Struthio camelus: one gene and its partners. The protein of the gene in region 1 binds, or shares a complex with, the protein of each later gene. Links are inferred from orthologs where the notes say so. Each region holds a gene or a part of one and is shown in the gene's direction. Other genes may lie near its edges.

Evidence for each region. Proteins that work in one complex are often made in the same cells at the same time.
Region 2: TMEM237 (region 1) and TMEM216 share a complex: the UniProt entries of both Homo sapiens proteins name them as parts of the tectonic-like complex. The link is inferred for Struthio camelus from reciprocal best matches to the Homo sapiens genes TMEM237 and TMEM216.
Region 3: TMEM237 (region 1) and TMEM17 share a complex: the UniProt entries of both Homo sapiens proteins name them as parts of the tectonic-like complex. The link is inferred for Struthio camelus from reciprocal best matches to the Homo sapiens genes TMEM237 and TMEM17.

The regions. Positions count from the first base shown.
Region 1 is NC_090947.1:10,247,636-10,255,432, forward strand, and holds the start of TMEM237 (transmembrane protein 237), read left to right. Parts: upstream 1-4,782; 5' UTR 4,783-4,817; coding exon 4,818-4,850; intron 4,851-5,715; coding exon 5,716-5,751; intron 5,752-6,612; coding exon 6,613-6,644; intron 6,645-7,645; coding exon 7,646-7,656; intron 7,657-7,797. Other genes in the region: MPP4 (MAGUK p55 subfamily member 4), read left to right, coding at 869-962, 1,834-1,942, 2,443-2,577, 3,589-3,780. UniProt on the Homo sapiens protein: Component of the transition zone in primary cilia. Required for ciliogenesis.
Region 2 is NC_090946.1:3,982,634-3,989,312, forward strand, and holds TMEM216 (transmembrane protein 216), read left to right. Parts: upstream 1-4,532; 5' UTR 4,533-4,552; coding exon 4,553-4,598; intron 4,599-4,751; coding exon 4,752-4,853; intron 4,854-4,964; coding exon 4,965-5,057; intron 5,058-5,321; coding exon 5,322-5,523; intron 5,524-5,692; coding exon 5,693-5,708; 3' UTR 5,709-6,179; downstream 6,180-6,679. Other genes in the region: TMEM138 (transmembrane protein 138), read left to right, coding at 1,082-1,209, 1,307-1,478, 2,957-3,032, 3,252-3,364. UniProt on the Homo sapiens protein: Part of the tectonic-like complex which is required for tissue-specific ciliogenesis and may regulate ciliary membrane composition.
Region 3 is NC_090944.1:140,245,712-140,253,086, reverse strand, and holds the start of TMEM17 (transmembrane protein 17), read left to right. Parts: upstream 1-4,375; 5' UTR 4,376-4,466; coding exon 4,467-4,572; intron 4,573-7,375. UniProt on the Homo sapiens protein: Transmembrane component of the tectonic-like complex, a complex localized at the transition zone of primary cilia and acting as a barrier that prevents diffusion of transmembrane proteins between the cilia and plasma membranes.

The DNA.
Region 1 (7,797 bases):
CTTTGCTGTATAGAAGGTTTTCAGCTCTATTGCAAGCTAGTGTCATTTGCTTTTATAAGGCTTAGTTTAAAGTACTGTCTTTCTCCTTACTTTGGCAAATCAGCCAAAGTTATCTTATGGGTCTCAGGAGCTGTAGCTTGAGCTTTATGTACCTTTATGGTTTTGTCTAATCCTGTTGTTTGTTTTTCTCAGCTCTGAAAAAGGAATGCTTCTTAGGGATATTATAAGAATAAATTTGTAGTGTTTAAGTGATGAGATATGAGAATGAAGGCAATAGAAGTTCATGCTTAGGCTTTGCAGCTTTCCTTATTAGCCTTCTTGTCTTGACTGAGAATTATGCAACCTAATTTCTGGCTTAATCATAGAAGTTGTCTCTGCCTGAGCTTATTTGGTACTTGTGATTTGGATAACCAAACGGGAAATGTATGAGTTTGAAGTTGAAATCTGAAATTTTAGGCATTTCATTATGCTTAAGATCCCAAATATGGGGAAAGTGTAAGTGTGGAAACACTTGTGGGATGTTTCAGAATGAACATGAAATTTGCCTCAGAGGAGAGGAAGAAACAGTTGTGCAAGCGGGTCTAAAGCATTTCCTGGTTGGTTTGAGTCAAAAGTATTTGGAATAAACCACTTCTCTTCTGTCCCAAGAAGTATGGACGTGCCTGCTAATTTTCAAGGACTCGCCCCTGGGCAACCGTTAGAGTAGACAAAGCTTTTGCTCTGGACTAACAAATGGAATCAACTAATTTCATTACTTATGAAAATACTGATTAATCTTCCTTCATGTCTCATTTTTCACTTATAAACTTACAAATATTTATTTGCAGTTACATTTTTTTGTTAATTTGTTGGTTTTGTTCCTCTCCAGACACCACGCGTGTTCAGAAAAGCTATGAAATGAATGGTCGTGAATATCACTATGTATCAAAGGAAACTTTTGAAAACATGGTGTACACCCACAGGTAATTAGCAGTGACAAATTCCATTCTTGCCACTTAACATGGGAAAAAAGCTTTGTAGTTAGGCCTCGGGTTTGGTCTCCTCTCCTCATAGTTGCTATATATGTTTGATGTAAATTTTTTGTCAAATTATTTGAGGCTATAGCTTCAAAAGTTGTGCTTGTGCAGTGACAAACAAGGTCCTCTAAAATTAATCTCAGAGTCTTTCTAAGATAAAGTGTGATCTCCAAGTCCTGAGCTCATCTGATGTGATATTTTGAGTTGTGAGTTTAACCTTTCTTAAAACTGGACTGTTTTCTAAAATTGAACAGTGAGCCAGACCTATGCCATATGCACATCTTCACTGTGGGACCTCTGGAGTGATGACATCTCCATGTAGGCACCTGAGCTGTAACTTGCAAATGTCTGCTCACTTCTACACTTCAGTAATTCCTCCACTAAAACAGACCAGCTCAGCAGCAGAAGCAACACTCCTTGAGCTGTACAAAGTGTTTTGAGATCTTCTGATTATTAAATTATTAGTACTATATAAATTACAAGTGTTTTATCACTGTAAATAAATATAATTGAAGTTTCCTTATAGTTGTCTGGAGATTGACCAGAATTGCAACCTCTGAACACACAATTTGTCACAGCAAGATGGGTAAAAATGCATGTTTTGGGGATGTCCAGATTGGCTCTAATAGTCCTGCCTGTTATGCTCATTGTAGTGGGGGAGAGCAAAGGTGGAGGTTCTTCAATAATGTTTGTTATGTTTTATCATCATTCAGTCTTGATCACAGAGATTACACTTGCAGATTTCACCTGTAAATGGAACCTTTTGAGACTCAAGTGCTCTTTCATTTTTCTTTCTCCTCCCTCACTGCTATTGCAGAATGCTAGAATATGGGGAGTACAAAGGTTACCTGTATGGTACCAGTGTCGATGCAGTGCGAACAGTCCTTGATGAAGGGAAGATCTGTATAATAGATTTAGAACCACAGGTGAGTTGCAAAAGAGCAGGGAACCTGCAATTGGCATCTCCTGGAAGGAGGAAAAAAAAAAAAAAAACTCTGTACATTCTTGAGCTATTGGAATAGCATTAATTGCTCTGACTTGTCTTATTTTCACTTTAGCTTATGATGCTTATTAATAATAGAGTATTCTTTGAATCTGGTCTTAGTAGAAAAAAAAAATACTACAGTGATGGTTGATGGTAGAGACCTGTTAATGACAATGTTCAGTCATTCTCTGGAGTTGAAAGCCTCTCCTAATAAGGTTACCATGCAGAATTAAATGATCAGTGTGGCGCAGGTGCTTAATAATGTCTGGACCAGAGATTATTACTGAGGTCATGTTAAAGCAGGTGTTCTTGAATAAGATTACTGCTAGGTCTGGAGATAACAGTACTTTGTAAACAATTTGCTTTTTTTAATGGGAATAAAATGGGAGTGATTATGCTTGAAATGCTTTAATTTAACTTCTTTTTACTCTTAACTTGCAGGGCATTCAAGTAGCCCGGACTCATGAATTAAAGCCCTACATTATATTCATCAAGCCATCCAGCATAAACTGCATGAGGCAGTCTCGTAAAAATGCAAGGATCATTACAGATTATTATGTGAACATGAAATTCAAGGTGAGATTTGGAGGTGGAAGACGACAGCTGATTACACTGGGAATTTGTCATTAGAACATAATGCATTCTTTTACTATGTTAACACTTTAAAAGATTATTGTGTCTTCATGACTAGATCTGTGTGTGTTTTGGTTGTTTTTTCTTCCAGAATTGGAGTGGAAGGGTTATAATTCATACCTAGGGGACTGAGGCGTTGTCTCCAAAATGTCTTTAAAAGAGAGGCTGTTGTGTAAATGTCTGCTTTAATTAAACTGCCTTGTGACAAGATTTAAGTCAGCACATGTATTTGTTTGCATTGAAATATATGGAATGTGTTCCATTCAATGGTTTAATCAATTTTTTCTTATAGTTATAAGTACTTAATATAGATTATTTCATTAGAAATATACTCATATTTCATATAGATTATCATTGCTTAATGATAATATTGATGGCAATTCTATAGTGAATTCTGTAAACAAACAAGTTCTGCATATAGGAAATCTCTGTGCTGCATTCAGAATGAGTCTAGTGCATTTGTCACCATGGCTTCCATAAAAATCATGATCAAGTTTAGCGCCTTATAATTTCAGAGGCCTAAGTCCATAACTTTATATGGAAATGAATCATAACTGTTAAGACAGAGATGTGAATGTTGGAAATCTGATGATAAACTAAAATGCAGAGTAAGAGCACAACTGTTGCAAACCGAATTTGCCTGCAGTGCATAACATCCTCTGCTGGCACTTGTCAGTAAAGTAATCTTTGGGAGCAAATGAAAAATATACTGGAGCATACTGAGAGGTGAAATCTTTCACTGGGAAAGATGTGGCAGTCAGCTGTGTTCAGAAGCTCAGAACTGATTGTAGCATGCATACTCCACTGCTGATAGCGATTGTAAATGGAAATACTTTACACTGCGCTGTCTATTCGCCTCTTGTTTATTATAGCCCAAGGGGTTCTGCAGATGCCCTGCAGACGTGGTTCTGTGCCCAACGCTCAAACGTGATAGATTTGGTCGGTCTCTTGCAGGAAGAAGATTTACAGGAGATGGAAGAGTCAGCTAAGAAAATGGAAGCCCAGTTTGGTCAGTTCTTTGATCAAGTGATTGTGAATGATGATTTACAAGAAGCATCTGCACAGCTGTTATCAGCAGTCCATCGTGCACAGGATGAGCCCCAGTGGGTCCCTGCAATATGGATATGCTCAGACACTCAGCCGTAACTCTGAGAGGCTGCCAGCTTCACGAAGATTATAGCTTATGTTTTACCTCAGGAATAATCCTGATGTCGGGATTGCAAGAATTTATCTTTGTATGTGAGGATTTGGAAGAGGATTAGGAAAGAAGCTGCTGCAGGAGATATAATCGTACTATGTTCTGTGTAGCTCTCCCGCATGTTACAGTTTGATCCATTTTTGTACCAGAAAAAAAATTGTGAGGTGTCAATTACAAAAATAAAGAAAATTCTATTTTGTTTCATGTACCTGTATAATGTACTCAGCTACTGAAAGTTCCCCGCTTCCCTTCCTCTTAGGAGCATCCTGATATTGTGATACTTGCGTGTTCTGGGAGCCCCGCGGACAGATGATACTCTGTATGTATCCAAGCCAGGCAGCCTTTGCGCAGTGTTATTTATACAGGTGTCGGCCGGGTGCTTGTTCTTTTTCCGAGACAGAAGCAGAGTGGCGTTACTGTAAAAAAAAAAAAAAAAAAAAAAAAAAGACTCTCGAAACCACAGTTATCTTTGTAGTACGCGCCACATCAACCTTTTGTTCTTCTCTGGGTCCGTATGCTGGAGTGAGTAAAAGCTGGCAGCGGGAGCAGTGGGTTTAGCAGAGAGGGAAATGGAGCAGGAAAGCCTCTCCGCGTTGGTGCGGGCTGGGACGGCACGCTCTGCCGCTCCAACGGGGCAGCGAAGCAGCGGCCACCTTCCTCACTGCCCTCCTCTCCCGTTACAGGTGTGTGCCGGAGAAAGCCCCCGCGAGCGCCTTTACCACTCCGGAAAGACACCGCTCAGGTTACAAGCCCCAGCGAAGTCCCGTCCTGCGGCTCTCGCTCCGCCTGCTGCTTCTCCGCGTCAGCTCTAACGTGGGTAAGTGCGGGCGGCGGCTGCGCGCACTGCTGCCCGTCCCCCTCTTGCGGGCCGGCAGGAGGGCGGCAGGCAGCGGCGCGCCCCCAGCCCCGCCGCCCCGGAAGCCGGCGGCGGCTCCTCCCCGTGCGCCGCGGCGGCGGCGCGGAGCGGAGCGGAGCGGAGGGCGGCATGGCGGCGGCGGCGCGGGCGGGCCCCGGCCGGGTGAGGGCGGCGGCGGCGGAGCGGGCGGCGGGAGCCGTGGGCGCGCTGCTGGCGGCCGCTGGCAGAGCGACGTCCTTGCAAACCGGCGCTTCGTTTGGGGCGAGCGCTTTTGGGTCCTGAGGACTGGCGGCACCTCCGGTGGCATCTCTCCTGCGTGGCAGGATTGGGCCGAGGGCGCGGAGGCGCGTGGGCCGCCGGGCAGCGGCCCCCGCATGGTTCGCTTAGTAAGGGGCAGATGCCGTCGCTTTGCCGGTGCCTCGCGGGAGGTAACGGCACGCGTTACGCTGCTGCGCGGCTGCTCAGTGCTGCGCAGGTGTTCCCAGGCTTTAATTTCCAAAAGTTCTGACTATGCTTTAAAAAAAAAAAAAAAAACCCTAATAATTGCTGCTGCAAAAGCATAGGAAGCAATAAAGCAGTGAGCTCTGAGCTGAAGTTTTATCCATTCGTTTCCCTCCCTCGCTGTGCCCGTGTGTGCGGTGCTGTTCAGGGGGTGCCCGTCTCTCCCTCTGCAAATGGCACCAAAACCCAGGATAGAGACGTGAGGCCCGATCCTGCAAACCTTTCCTTGCACAGGGTCTCACGTTTGCATCGCCTAAACAAACCCGAGTGAAAACCACTCGCTTTACCAGCGCATCGAGTCACGGGTTTCTTAGTGCAGGTGACATTAAGGACTTGTATCATGGAAAACTCCCGCAGCAAATTGCCATTGATTCAAATGGGAGTAGTCCTGGGCCCTAGCCCGGGGACAGGAAGGTTCACCTCCAGCTAATCCTGGCTGCGAGAAGTTTATTTTTAGTTGAGAATTAGCTGAGGTTCAGAGTAAGCGGCGTGAGGAGCAATTCACAGTTCACAGTGCCTCTTTCAGGGAACAGCTTCAAATGATATGGGAAAGAAACAAGTGGTAAGTTTGCAGATTTTTGAGCCATTGATCTCAGTCTTTTTCATTTCTTTTCTTTATTTCTAGTTGTATTTTGGAGTGTGGCAAACATTTCTTCCTCTATATTCTTCCGGTGCAATTATATAACACAAAATCTGAAAGTAAGCTGCCTGCCTTTTCCTAGGTGAGAGAGAATTATCTGGTTTGTGAGAGCTGGCTTTCAGATTGTTAACAAGGGATACTTATTTTTAGATTTTAGTTATGTTTGATCTCCTGGTAAATATGAAAGTTTTTTATCATATTAAAAAAGTTCTAATAAATAAGCTTATTTCCTTTTTATTGCTCATTACTGAATGTTCTTGTTTTGTAATTCTGCGTTTACAGCTTCATTAGTTTAAAAAAAAAACCCCTCAGCTCATGATATGTAGTGTGCAAGTATATTGCTATTAAATTATTGCAGTGGGTTAATATTTAAATGAAATGACTGATAAACTTTCTTGTGAATTCAGTATCGTATATGAAACGCAAAAATTCTTCAAGCGAACTTTAAATGCAAGCTGCACCTCATATATGCCTATTAGGTGCATGTCCCTAATGTAATACCCATCCAAATTCAGGTAAAAGCATCATATTATTCCTCAGTAGTACTGTGCACTTCTATGTAGCCTCTTCATTTGGGAGTCTCTCCATATTTTCACTTGCATTTACTTATGCGTGAGATGTTCATAGTGTGGTTTCGGGAGCATGAGAAGCTAAACCTACCTAGCATATTCTGACCATACCTGGAAATAGCTGTTTTCTGTGATGTGGTTTAACAGGTACTCAGGAGAGAGGTGATTTTGCACTGACAGAAGTTGTTTTTTGCCTCTGTCTCTTCTCTTGCAGTGCCCTCCTCGTGCCCTCCCTCCAGTGCCAAGGTAAGATCAGTTCACTTTACGGAACTGATAGGAGTTGTGTACTGCAGTGGTCTTTAAAGGTGATGAAATGAAAAAACAAAAAACTTGATGAACGTCTGAGTAGTCGTGAAGGCTTTAAAAATGTTGCATTTTCTTGCTAATTTGCTGTCCCAGAACCCCTTACAAAGGCTGTAAAAGCATTTTAAAGTTTTACAGGAGGTGAGAAACTTTATTATATAACTTCATTTATTGTTACTTGGAGAAGTAATCCTATTAAAAAGTCTTGGACAGGCGGTTGCCTCAGGTTTATTAACATCTACTGCAGTTTTATTAATGTTCCTCTTTTCAATCTGCTTTTCTCCTCTTCCTTCCTTCCCTGTTTCTTCATAATCTCTTGTATATTTGAATCATAACAGAAACTTTTAAAATAAGATTAGGTGTTCTTGGATAGGCTTGTAGGTGCATAGCAGTATGACACAGTTTAGAGAGAAATACGGGCATGTCATTTTCAGCATCCGAGTGGATAGTGCAGAAGGAAAGGCAACTATATAGGCTTTGTGGCATAGTACATCAGAAGTCCTTCAAGGTATCTGAAGGCAAATTTGGTGTTTATGATCACGTATAAAAGCTGCGTTCCTGTTTTTAGTAACATACACGTGCAAATGTTTCATAACTTCTTTTGTTAGTCTGTTACATGTCAGACAGTGAGGCAAGTTGTAATTAAACAGCCAGGTGATTAAAGCTTTTAATCTGATCTGTGACTTAACCAATCAAGAAACTGTATGCAGTCATGAACAAACTGTTGAATCTTGATGATTGTTTAGTACCCTTAACTCTGTTGTATGGAATTGCTCATAAAAAGAAACAGGGAGTGGGGGTGAGGGAATGAATCACAAACAAAACAAAAAAGGCAGGTGTGAATTTAACACTGTTGTGAACTGTGATTGATTCAAAACTAATTCTCTTCTTTGTTCCTTTTACGCTGCTCTTCTGCACTTTCCCCTTTAAATATGAAAATGAAGTGGAAGCCAAGGTGAGTTATTTTAACATTAAAGAGAATTACAAGCTTTAATAATTCCTTTTGATGTCACTTCATCCTCCCTGTAAAGTTTGGTCCCTGTACTTTTCCGCGGTGCAGGTTGATAATTATTTAAGCTGCCTAGGTACCTGGGCT
Region 2 (6,679 bases), on another chromosome or scaffold:
CGAGGGGCCGCTGGGGGAGCCCTGGGCTTGGAGGGGGTCAGAGGGCTGTGTGGTGGTGACGAGGGGCCGCTGGGGGAGCCCTGGGCTTGGAGGGGGTCAGAGGGCTGCCTTGGGGAGAGGGGGATAACCCCTGCATGGCAGCCAGGCATCTGCCTTACCTGTGCTCCTTGGGGACAACGTGCTGCTTTCTCAGAGCAGTGCAGGCCCTGGCCTGGCTGTCAGCGATGGGAAAGCCGTGCAGGAGGGCTGTGTCTCCTTGCTCAGCCCCAGTCAGCCCTGCTGTTTGGCGTGTCCTTTCTGACCAGCCACCTCAGACTGGGTGCAGGGTCCAGGAGCGGGGCAAAGGAGAGCGATGCTGCGTCGCAGCATGCCCAAACCTGCTCCCATAGCACGGCCTGCCCAGGCCTGCCCATGAGCTGGTGTGCAGCTTTGGCGTGTGGCTTCCACTCACTTGTCCACCTTGACAAGTGTAAGCAACCTGCCTGGACTGTCCTCCTGTCTCTGCCCCGGGACTCATGCATCTTCCTCATCCCTGAATTTCTTTCCATCTGTTCCCTCAGGTTAGGGGCTGCTGTAAGGCTTAAGAGTGCGAGAGAGAGATTCAATCTGAGTCTGCTGCACGGTGAGAGACAAAAGGGGGGAGACAGCTTATTCATAAGAGCCCCAGCTTGCAGAATAAAGGCAGGAGGATGGCTCTGCATAGGAACCTGCAGGCCTCGCTGCTTGGGGTAGAGAACTGGCAGTCTCATTGCTACATATGTGCAACATAAGAGGAGCCAGGCAGGTTGTTCCCTGAGCTGGGCCTGGCTGCAGAAGCACAGAAACCAGCAGGCTCCTTTTTGGATTTACTCTGGATTTTCTCACTGTGGGGATCAGGAAGAGTTGGATTCTGTGTCAGTTGTGGCGTTTGTGTCTGGCCCTGCTGAGCTATACCCTCTGCTCCCCTTCCAGGCCCCAGGTGCTGGCTGTAGGGAAAGGCTGTGGTACGAGAGGTGACGCTGAGCCCCTCGGCTCCAGAGCATGAGCTGGCCTTGTCACTTGGGATGCCGGGGCTGAGGGCTTGTGCCCCTGGGAAAGGAAGATGCTCCAGACCAGTAATTACAGCCTGGTGCTGTTCCTGCAGTTTCTGCTGCTTTTCTACGACCTGTTTGTCAACTCCTTCTCTGAGCTGCTCCGCACAGCTCCTGCTGTCCAACTTGTCCTCTTCATGTGAGTGCCAGGCAGACCTAGAGGTGTGAGCGGGGGACAGGAGGGCTGGGGTCTCCCGTACCACAAGGGTGCTTACAACCTCTCTCTCCTCCTGCAGTATCCAGGACATTGCCATCCTCTTCAACGTCATCATCATCTTTCTCATGTTCTTCAACACCTTCGTCTTCCAGGCCGGTCTGGTCAACCTCCTCTTTCACAAGTTCAAGGGGACCATCCTCCTGTCAGCGGCCTACCTGGCACTCAGCATCTCTTTCCATGTCTGGGTCATGGTAGGCTGAGAGGGGTCCTGGGCTGCCAACTTTCCCCAGAGGACATGCAGACAGGGCACTGGTCCCCTTGCTTTGCTGGCCACAACCCCTGGCTCCCCTCAGCCCCTCTCCCACATGCTGGGCATCAGTGGAGGGCCAGAATCTCCCCCTGCACCTTTTGTCCTGCACAGTTTGGAAACAGCTGCTCCCCCGGGGGATTTGGGGAAGACTTAGCCTGCCTGTGTGAGCAGCTTTTCAGTAGGTGGGTGAGTGTGTCCAGGAAAGCTCTCTGCTCCCAAGAGGGCAGTGAAGGCAGGAGCAGTGGGGAATTTAGCTGTAGAGATGGGAGAGGTCTTCTCTCAGCCTCTGGCATGACTCCCCCTCCTCACTGCTCCTTGTCCCCCTGCAATTGCGCATGTGCCCCGGCCACGGTTTTTGGGCTTGTAGGCTGCAGCAGTGACGCAGCAGATGTTCCTGGGCCGTGCTCAGCCCAGGAGGCAAAGAGAGGTCATTTGAGAGGCAGGCACTGAGCTATGAGAAGCAGGGACTGGCCTCACAGTCTGCTCAGTACTTGCCCTGACTGGAAGGGAGCTGCCACATCCCAGCCCCCTCCCTGGTTGACCTGCTGGACAATCCTCTTTCCCCATGGAAAGCCCCCTGGCTCTGGCGCTGCGCTGGCACACACTGCTCTGGGTAATCCCCAGCCTGAAGGCCGTGACAGCAGCACCTTGTATTACCTGGGATTAATCTCCAGCAAATGCCAGCGCTCAGAGGCTGGCTGCAGCCCCCCATCCGCTGGCATCAGACAGCTCAGCAAGCTGTAAGGGTTCCCTGCTCATCTGAGAAGCATCTTTCCCTTCTGTCCCTGGCCTTAGCGCTCCCTTGTCCTCTGCCCCAGGCACCAGACCCCAAAAGTAGCAACCCACAACCCCACCTGGCCCCTGAGTACCCCCCTGCGTAGCCCCAGCTATTCTGGGCGTGGGGCAGGGACAGTGCCCCAGCTCCGAGGGTGCCACCCCCACCCCGCTACCAGAGCGCTATGGTGCCGAGGATAGTAAGCGCTCAAGGGGTGGGAGCTGCCCGAGTGTGCAGCCGGGCTTGCGCTGCCCACACACCACCCGGGCAGGGGATTGACAGGGATTTCCTGGGATCTGAAGTCTGAAGCTAGAATAGGTCCTGGCTCGCTGTCTAAATCCCTTGAGCTGCTTAACCTTTGGGGTAGGGCGCTGCTCCCGGCTGCACGCTGTCTCTCGGAGTCAGCCACCGTGCCCACGGGTTCTTGCCCAGGCAGAGAAGGATCTCGTTCTCCCCTGGTGGGGAGAGCCTCAAGGCAGCCACGGTCCGTAGGGTGCAGGGACAGCCTTCTCCTGCTGGCGTTCCCAGGGCACCGTGCTGGGGGAGCTAAAGGTGCAGGGTGCTGAACTCTCCCCGTCCCCAAGCAGTAATGCAAGGGTTATTTCTTGGCCCTGACGCCCCACACATTTGTCTGTCTGCCTCAGAACCTGCGGTGGAGAGAATCCAGCCGTTTCGTGTGGACCGAAGGCCTGCAGACGCTTTTTGTCTTCCAGAGATTGGGTAAGGGCTCACCTTCTCAGGGTGCTGCCTGCCTCACTGGCCATGCTGGGACAGCCCACAGCAGCCCTGGCATCCATGTCAGGGTGGTTGTGGGGGTCCTGTACCATCAGCGGAGGCCCCTGGACCGCCTCTGGGAGCGTGTGTGACGTAACTCCTCAGGGAGGGAGGTGGGGGTGGATGTTCCTGCCCGCCTGGCCCTCACCTCCCTCTCTCCACCAGCGGCTGTGCTTTACTGCTACTTCTACAAGAGAACCGCGGTGCACCTGGGCGACCCCCTCTTCTATCAGGACTCGCTGTGGCTGCGCAAGGAGTTTGCTCAGCTCCGTGGCTGACAGCTCTGCTCAGGCTTTCGGCTGCCTGTTGCCTCATCTCAGCATGCGCAGGCAGCTCCCGGGGTGAGCAGCGCCCTTGCACGCAGGATCAGCGTTTGCCCATGCCAGCTCTCCTGGGGTTCCTTCCATTCCTCCTCGTCTGTGGGCCCAGCCGCTGCCTTGCCAGGGATGGAGCCAAGAGGCCAGAGGGCTTGTCCAGGCCCTATGACTCCAGTCCAGACACATTCCTCCTCTTCCTTCTCTTCCTCCTTCTGGGGACCCATCCTTCCACCTGCTCCAGTGTGGCTCATGCTCCGGCAGCAGCAGGAGCTGCAGGATGCACGCTGCGGGCCCAGCCGTGCAGCAGGAGGGCTCTATCCCGGCATTACATCCCCTGCTGGGACTTAGTTTTTGTAAATTATAAAGAAATAAATTGGCTGTGTTTTCCAGCGGCTGTCGTGTGTCTGTGTGCTGCGGGCACCCCCAGGCCGCTCCTGCTCTTTTCTTGGACTGCGATGCCGTGTTGACAGCAAGCTTCCTTGAGTGACTGTTCTGGAGAGAACTGAACCAATAATGTTATTTACTCATTAGCAGGCCCTAGCTAGCTAGGCAGTGTGTTTTCAGTCACAAAACTGGGACTGTTTTCACCTTGCATCACCTCTCAGTGTCATGCAGGCCACTGGTCCCAACTGGGGATGCTCAGACTGAGGTAGAAGCAGTGGGGGCTCTGGGTGGCATGGGTTTATCCCCGAGCTGCGTTGGGCAGAGGGAGGAGGATCGTTCATGCAGTGCATAGGTGAGAGCTGGTGAGATGTGAAAGAGGGGGAGCGGAAGAGCAGGTTCCCCGTGTCCCGGTTGGGGACAAGGGCTGCAGGACATACGAGAAGGGCAGTGGCTCTGGGTGGCCAGGGGGAACATGGGAGCCAGCAGCTCACCCGTGAAAGCACAGTTTCCCTGCCAGTCTTTGGACTTCGGTAGGAAGCGCTTGAACAGAGGGAGCGCTGGAGCGGGGCCGCGGCTCCTGGTTCTCTGCCGCGAGCAGCCGCCGGCGCCGCGGCGAGCCCGCCGGGCCGGGGCCGCGAACCGGCGTCTCGGAGGTCCCCCAGTCCTCCCCGGCCATAGAGGGGGCGGCGAGAGCGGCCTGGCGCATGCCCCTCCGAGCGCTCCCGGGAGTGAGGGCGGCTGTGGCGGTCTCCATGGAGATGGAAGATGGCGCCCAGGAGTGAGTGCGGGGCCGGGCTGGGCCCGGGCGCCGGTGGGTGCGGCGGGAGCCGGGGACAGCGGGGCTGGGGGAGGCGGGAGGCGGCGGCGGGAGCCGGGGGCAGCGGGGCTGGGGGAGCCGGGGGGCGGCGAGAGCCGGGGGCAGCGGGCCGGGCCGCCCCCGCCGACGGCCGGCGTCTGCTCGCAGGCCGGCAGCGCTCCTCGGTGCCGCTGCAGATCCTGCTCTTCCTCAACGGCTGGTACTGCGCCACTTACTTCCTCCTGGAGGCCTTCATCTTCGTCTACAAGGGTGAGCCCGGCCCCCTCCCCGCCCCCCCGGCCCCCCCCTCCGTCCCCGAGGGCGGTGGCGGCCCACCCGCGGCCGTGCCAGCCCTGAGGGCGGCGGTGGCTGTGCCCGCAGTGCTGCTGTTGCCCTACCCCTCCGCCAACCTGGCGCTGGATGTGGTCATGCTCTTCCTCTACCTGGGCACTGAGGTCACCCGCATCTTCTTTGGTAAGTCCTGGGGTAAGCAGGCGGTGGGGGCCTGGCATGGGCGGCTGGGGCGCTCCAGCCTTGCACACCTCCAGGGCCCAAGCCCACGGTGGCTGGTGTTTGCTCAGGACCCCAGCAGGAAGTGCTGGGGCTGCAGCAGAACCATTTGCTGTGTCCCCCACGGCGGGGTCCTGGCCACAGATGAGCATGGACCCCGCTGGGAGCCTCAGTACCCTTGTGCTGCATGAGGTAGAGGTGAGGCCACAGTAACGTTGCGCTGTGCAGGCTCAAAGGGCAACCTGTGCCAGCGGAAGGTGCCGCTCTCCATCAGCTTGGCCCTGACCTTCCCGGCGGCCACGATGGCGGCCTACTACCTGCTGCTCCAGACCTACGCCCTGCGCCTGGAAGCCATCCTCAACGCCATCCTCCTGGTCTTCTATGCTGCAGAGCTGCTGCTGGGCATCCTCACGCTGGCCTCCTTCTCCAGGTAGTGCTGCAGCTGGAAGCCTGGCCACGTGGTGCAAGGAAGGAAATAACCTGCCCCCCAGCCCGGCACGGTGGGAACCAGGCAGGGCGAGCTGTGGGGTGCAGCCCCCGCCCTAGCCTGGGGGCCTGCTGCTGCCTGCTGACCCAGCCCCATCTCCCCTTCTCTGCAGCACGGATTCGTACTGAGGGCCAGCGCAACACGGTACGATGCCATTCCCGAGCGGCACAGGTACAAGGGACGGCAGGAAGCCCGCAGCCATGCTGACAGCTCCGTCGTCCAGCCCACACCCTACCCCCAGCTGGCCGTGGTGGGAGGGACAGAGATGTGCTGCCGGGCTGGCCCCGCTCCGGCGCGGTCGGGGCGCTGGGCCGAGCGCACGTTGGCGTCGGCGGGTGTCTGTGGCTCAGCCTGTGCCAACGGGCAGCTGCGGGGCAGGGCAGCCTCCACCCTGCGCGTTCCCCTCTACTCTGCCTGCAACACGTGCAAGTAACTCGCTGGGCAGCACCCGCCCTGCTGCCGTCTGGGACTCCAGCTCCACGTAGCAGGATCCGGACCCCTGGGCTTGTGACACGCAGGTCAGTTGGAGATACGGAGAATTACTTTTTCTACTGCAACCTCAGAATAATTTACTATTTTCCAATAAATATTTATTTTTACCTGGTGCCTGGGCATGTAGCTTCCCCCAGGGCTGTTTGGAGCCAGCGCAGGGGGCAGAGGGGCTGCACTTGCCTGCGTGGCCACATGCCGGCAGAACCAGTGCAGGAAGCCCTCACGCATGTTAGAGGTCAGGTACCGGTGGAGGCCAGGTACCGCTCTGCCTGCCCTTCTGGTAGCCCCAGCGCATCTGCCTCCGTCGCTGGCACCGGCAGCTCCAAGAGCCCTGCTCCGCTCTCGCCACTTGCCAGGAAGCAGCAGTATGAGTCATTCTGGTCCTCAGCTGCACAAATAAGCCAGGCCTGGGGAAGGCTGTGCCAGGGCCTGCATTAGCAGGGAGCTGTGCTCACCCCCGCCCCCCCCAAAAATCTCTGAGCCTGCCACCAGCACCCACCTGTGTGCACAGAGCACCCGAGGGAGTCTCCCAAGCTGCCCTTCCCTCCCCTGCAGCCTTGCACTGCACAGGGTCCATAAAACACCCCCTCTATTATTAGAACTTGTT
Region 3 (7,375 bases), on another chromosome or scaffold:
ACAGACGTTTGTGTAAGTGAGAATATGGCTCAAAATTCATCCATTTACAGTACCTCCTTCTGTACCATATAGTCCTTTAGTACTTCTGCAAAACAAACAGTAAAACTGGTTTAACAGCAGCACCAGCTTTGAGTTTCCCAACGTGCTTTATAAAACTAAAAATCGCCAAAACAAAACAAGCTAGGAAACGGTTTTAACTAAATGCCAAGTACAGCAAGAAGAAAATCAATTCATGGGAGCAAGTAATAGCTTTTTTTTCCCTACTGTCTTTATGCTTAAGACTAAAATAGCCAAGATATATTTAATGCATGGAAGGACTGCAGCTATATATAATGCTTGAAATAGGGGCCTCCAATAGGTCTCATCAGCAGCAATAATTGTTTACCAGACACAAAAATCCTCTAGGTGTTAAACGAACACCAGGGAGTAGCATTCAAGTGACATGGAGAAAAGATTGTCCTAGGGTACCGCAAGCCAGGCGCACAGCTGTGAAATTGCTCTGGCAGACACTGTCACAGCTAATAACGTGATCCTTTCAAACACAGAGAGTCCTCATGGCATTTGTAATTTGTTAAAATTCCCAATCTGTCACTTCTTTCTGAGAACAGAAGGAGAAAACAAGCCTATACTCTGCTTGTCTGTGCATACCTCTGTTCACCAGCACTTTTTACATGTTTTACAGGATTTCTATTAAAACACTGGGCAGGTATTAAAGGGCAAGCAAAGGGAAGAATGATTTCTGTTGCTTGCATGCTTATAGCTATCTAAGGGGCAGTAGCGCAGGCATGCCAGGGAAAACAACATTTGTGAGATTCCAAACCAGCACATTCAGAAATACAGCAATTGCGATTCAGGTGGAAAGATAAACCATTGGCACCATTTAAATGAACTCTGTGTTTCTGAAATGCCAGCTGTAAAAAACTGCTGATATTTAATTTCGTTAGATATACTGCATCTGGTGTTTATGGCTTAGTGCTGTTGCCAGAGAGCCCCAGGAGCTTCGGTCTGGGAGCCAAGCCAGTGTCTACCAACTTAGTTGGACTACTGTGGATACACAAAGATCCAATATTCCTCTGATTTAAAGCTTTCAGGCAGATTTTCAGTGACTTTTGTTTTATTTATAGTTAGCATGTGCCGAGAGAAATAAAACAGTCACTTAATATGCTGCACAACTATGGGTTTATTTCCTCCAGTTTCTCATTTCAGTAGCTTATTTTGAAGCCTGGAGAACTGGAAATCTGTCTATTTCTACCTTAAGCACTCATAGGTGGATAGACACAAAGGAATTCAGTAACGGAATGCCTTTCCGTTAAAAAATAAAAAGCCAATATACAACTTTATTATAAAACTTGGATACTTACACTATTTATACAGATGGCCATCATAACTGTTATAGTCACACACGGCTAAGCGTTTTTCTTTCTGTCACCCCTTATAGCATATATTTATAAGCTTCTGTTATATGAAGCTTTGATTTATCAATGCAGATACCCTGGTGTTCTGATACTTAAAGGGTTTCAGATTATTTTCTGCTTGAAACTGCTCCCTAAAAAACCCTAAAAAAAAAAATCAGAGGAATTCTGTTCATTACATTGACAATAAATGCACGACTCAGCCTGAAGAAAATTAAGCAGGATTAGCAAAACAAAAAGCATATTCCGTCTTCAGGGAGTATTTTAAGCGTCTGAGCGGACACCAAAACACGAAATAAAAATGTGCACAATTTTATTTTGCGGGGACGTGTGGAATGCTCGGCCATCTGCTATAAACGTGAGGCTGCCAAATATCACAGATTCACACCTTGAGTTTGGAAATTGAGTTCACATGGCAAATCCAGGCATTTCTTGTGGTATCTGCATTCCATCAGCCTTTCCTTTACCTGCTACTCAGTTTCACACTTCACTGACTGTTAAGCTGGATTGCTTCACAGTTTTGAAAGTGCAGAGCCCAATTTTACCAAGTTCCATTGACTGCCATAGAGCTGCTCACAGGACACCCGACTGTATGCTTCATAGGTTTTCAGAATGGGGGAACGTAAGAAAATCAGTTTGGGAGATCAGGGCCCCTGCTCAAAGCCACTGGCAACAGGAAAGGAACAACACTGTGCATTCTAGGAAAAATTCCTCCTTCCATTCTGAAAAAGTAATCAAGAGGAAAATCCTTAAAGGCTGAACTTTAACAGGCCACCAGCTTATACTATGAAAAACCCTGCAACTTCCATGAAGATCTTCCTTAATCAAAACCCAACCACGCTTTTAATTCATATACACCTGTTCCTTGGGTGTAATTAACTGAGAATATGGGAATAGTGCACCCCTAATCGGAAGGGTGTGAAATAGATTAGGACCAAGGCAACAACAATAAAACAGGGTTTCAGGCAACTTGATTAGAAATCTTGCACGGATTCATCATCTTGCCACTGTCTATAGCACAACTTTACAGCAAGAGGTGCAAGATGATGCAAAAAGCACTCAAAAATCATTTGTTGAGTCTGGTAGGAAACCTGTTTCTAGCACCTACTGGCAACTGGCAAAATAACAAATACAGATTGCATTTCTTAAACGTTCAGCAACCTACCTAACACTTTTTTTCCACGTTGCCGTAAATGTTAAAGAGAGCTTTAAACCCTTCTAGTACTGTACTTGGTAGTCAGCTAATTAGCAGGCACACAGGCACAGATTTTAGTCATTGAAACTATGGTATACCTCCAGTGCCTTCACAGCTCTGAGCTTTGGGGTCCATGTCTGGCTGGGACACAAGACTGTTGGTATGTCTACTCCATCAAATAGGCCAGCTCACTCAGGCACCATTGTCAGTATGCCTACAATAAGACAGAGCTCAAAGTCAGATACAGTCAGGTCAAAGGAGCTGGACAAATACTCATTTTGCCTTTGCTAGATTATTTCCCTGCAGAGCTGTCCTAGCAGCAAACCTGAGCTAGCTAGCTCAAGGCTAGTCCAGGCAGCCTTGCTGAGCTGTGGTCAGTGCTGTACAGACAGAGCTACATTATCTTTTTTCTTTTGTTATTTTGTAAGGAATATCTTACATTTAATAGCATATCTGCCTTCTTGTGCCCAGGACCTGTTTTAAGTTTTGCATCCCTTTCTGTAGGATTCAACAGAAACTGCATACAGCATTGCACAGGATTAAGCTTCTGTTTTGTCTTATCTGTAGCATCACCTACCTTTTAAGCTTCATTTTCTAGGAGTACTTCCACAGCAAAGCCTGCTGCCTTCCTTGCCTGTTAGGGGACATGCACAGCATCCCTTGAAATTCTGGGATCCTTCCAGAATTCTGGATTCCTCGAGACCCTTCTCCCCTCCAACCTGCGGCAATTATTTAAAAATCACTTCACCTCTTCTGAAGGACCCAAGTTTTTTATGTAGGTCCCTGCTGGCATACATCTGTTTGGGGAAGCTCTTTGAAAAGTATCTGTTGTGAATACTACATCATTCATCAGCACTAAACCAAACGTATTTCTCAGAACTCATGTTTTTCATCTGTCTCTGGGGTTCTCCCAGTGGAATAGGGCAAAATTAAATTTAAACTAGGCTTTAAATTATTTAGTCAGAGATAATTGAGCTTGGAAAGTCATACTAGAGAATGAGCACCCAGGGAAGTAGCTAAATATGATTTTTGGAAGGAGAAGGGAAGGGAGTCGCCACGTCACATTAGGTACATAAAAATCACAAAAGTTCAAAAGTTATCAGCCCTCGTAGGAAAGGGCACAAGTTGCTCTTTTGTTCTGGTCAGGCAGAACATAATTTCCTCCAGGCTTACAAAACGCATCCTTTCTCCTCAGAAGGAGCCAGGCCCTAAGTGTTCTGAAAAATCCTGGTGACAGATTACAGCATTATTAGGGTTCAGGCACAAAGTACCTATACGTTCAAAATAAAACAAGAGCTTTTCTTACTGCCCAGGAAGACTTCCTATAAGGCATAAAAGCTAACTGGAATTAAAAGGCTCTGCTGATATCACCACTACTTTTAACTCAGCTGTGCCACAAACAGGTTTCTTCGAGGAAAGGATATTTTCTAGCTGAGTTTTACCTCGATCTATCATAAAACCAACGCTGTATGATAGCCACTCAAAACAATACCCACTCTGAGGAATTAAATAGCTCCAACAATGTCCACCCTTACTCCACTTCTCCCTCCCTAGTTATCACTGAACACTACGGATCCCCTGAATTTACCCTCATAGAGATGGAAAACAGCCCTGCTCAGGAGGGAAGCAACCGCCTGCTGAAACAACCTTTTGTAACCGTGATTTAAAAAAAAAAAAACAAATTAATAATAATAATAACGAGCCGTGCCCAAACAAACTAGAAAAAACATATCCACCCACACGCCAGCGCCTCCCCCCGCCGAGCGCCGTCCTGAGGCGGCCAACGGACGCGCCGCCGGCCCCACTGCGCCTGCGCGCCGCCCCGTCGCCACAGTAACGGCGGGCCGCGGCGCCGCAGCATGTCGCTGCCCGAGCCCCTGAGGAGGCGGCTCGGCTCCTTTAGCCGCACTGTCTTTATCGACAGCAGCCGCCGCAGCGGCCCGCAGTCCCCGGGCAACAGCGCAGGTAAGGGCGGTGGCGGCTGGCCGGGCGTCGTGCCAGCGACAGACATGGCGGCGGGGGACAGCGCCCGCCGAGGGAACGGTGCCGAGGCGCGCGGGGGAGGGGAGGGGCTTGCCAGGAATAAAGATGGCGGCACCAGCCGACGCCTAGAGGCCGTTGGGGCGGGGCCGCGCGCCCACGGCCGTTACGCGGTGTCTCCGCTCTCCTGAGGGAGGGCCGGCGCGGGCCTGGCGGTCTCTACGTGGTCTCTGGTTTCGCTGTCGATGATGTAGTGTAACTTAATGGGTGTTTTCTGGAGTAAAACAACAGCGGCCGTAATCTTTCCCCCTGCACTTAACGTGCTTCAGTGGCGCAGGGTTAAGACTGGCTTCCCGGGCACTTAAAATATTAAATGCGCAACAGTCTGATTTAAAAGCAGCTCCGCACGACCCTCTGCACCCACCTTTACAGCTCAATAAGCGAGTCGGCATAAAATATGACCGATAAAAGACACCAATACTACACACTGTACACTCCACCTATACGAAATTAAAACGTAGTAATGATTTTATAGAGAACCTTGAGAACAAATAAAAGACGGGAGCTATTGTTTTAAGCCCAATAGTCCTACGCAGAGTTAGGACACCCACCGGACGCTCAGAGCAGAAGGAGACGAACCAAGCAAAAACCCAGACCTTCAACCTTCTTCTTGCAGCTCTTACCAATAAGGACCGATAGCTTCGTCACCTTGCTAGTGAAACCTGCAGGATGATAAAATAAAGCAAAAAGCTATTATTATTTCAAGAGAACCCATTTTGTTTGTGTCGTTAGACCGGTCTATCTATAGTGCTAGCACTTCCTCGTTTAGCCAGATCAATTCCTAATTACAGCTACCAAGCACCACTGAGACGCTTTTCTTAACTCCAGGAATAGCTTCTTATTTTAATCATTTATTTTACCTTTTCTTTCTTGAAAACTCCTACATGAATGTCCAGCCCATTGAAACCAATGGTAAATAGACCATTAACCTCTTTGAGGTCCTGTTTTTGAATCTTAAGTCTACACATACATACTTTAGTGAGTTGCCCTGGTGCCAAGGGGCCACTGGGTTACTGTCTGGCATTTCCACATATTTTTACAATCCCAAAAAGTAAACAGTAGTTCGATTTAGGTGTAGAAAGATGAATTAGACTTGGCTTATATTGCTAAACATTCATCCAAAACACAGTCTTAAAACTTGAGAAGAAGTTACCAGTATGCATGCCTTGTCACTAAGACCTAAAAGTACCCAAAACATTCTCACTGGCTTTTTTTGAATAACATTACATTTTCATCTAATGGGACAGAAACACAGTTGGTTATAATTAGATAGTCTGATTTTTTGAAAGATAAAACAGTGTTTTAGAATTGCATCTCAGTGCCTCTACAATCCATGGTTAGTACCCTAGATCTGGTATTTAGGGATTCATTCATTAGAACAGCTGACAGTTCCTCGGACAAATTTAGGTAGACAGTAAAACTGCTTTGAGGTACCTATAGATTTTCATTCCATGCAGATGTAGGAGAGTGTTGATATTTAAAAATGGGATTATTAAAAATATTGGTTGTCTTGCACCTTCTGTTTCAGTATAGCAAATCCTCGCCCATCAAACCCTACCCTTAAGGTTTGTCCCAGTTCTGTCCCCAAATCCTCCTCCCTTCCCACCTAGCCCAGTAGCTACCATGAACACTTCTGCAACTGGCATAAAGACTTCTGGAACAGACTGTACCAGGCTGCATGTGGTGGAACGGGGAACAGGGATGACAGACTGAGATGGAACAAAGACAGGTATGAGAATGGTTGGAAGATATGACAAGAGATGGCATTATCAGAAGAGAGGTGGTTCTGAAGTCAAAGGTGAACAAAACATGGCTGATAATCTGAGTTTCAATTGAATATCACCATGGTGGCACGCTGGGGCACGGGACTTAGATACAAAACAGCAGGTCCAGAGCAGCAGCTCACAATGAAATCTTTCTAAACTTGCTCAGGTAGTACCAAGTGAAGATTTGTCTGCAAACTGCATTTAGGGAAAACGTGAGAAAAGAGACTGTTGGTAATTGAAGTAAATTGCATGCGACATCGGTTAACTAGACTGTGGCAATAAAACTTAGTCCATTAAAAACAAACAATTCTCTTGGGATGCCCTGGTAAGTTTTTCTTTGTTTGAGTTTAATCTTCTAAATCTATGGCTAAGTCCTAATTTTAGAATTTACAGCCTGCCTAGTGTTATGCAGTTCAATATTTTTTTCTTTGCATTGTGTCAACTTATCCTTTAAAGTCTGGAGAGACGGAAATAAGTTTGAGTTTGATACGTATGACGAACTGTTAGCTCCAAAGAAGTAAAAGAATTACTGTCATCTTGCAGTGTCACTGTGTATTCAAATGTCTATCTTAAATAAAGATTCAAAATGGAGAGTGGGCATTGCAAACCTGCTCTCTAGCAGCAAGTCTGTACCCAGGAGGGTCAGATACAAAACGAGAATAAGCCATAAGTGTATTCATTTAAACTTGGGACATTTTCTTAGAGAACAAAAATAAAATTGGCACTTACTATTTCTACAATGTCAGGATACACTACTACTTGAACAAAGCCTATCAATTTAGTTCAGAGACTGTTGATTAGCTGGTGGCTTATGATTTACTCCACAGTCAAACACTTGATTTGAATTTATAACTAAGGGATCAAAATTCTATATCCTGTGAACTGAAAGTTACATTAGATCCTGGGAAATGGTGTAACCCAAAATAGGGCAGAGTTTTTCCTCTGGGTCTCTGAAAATGCCA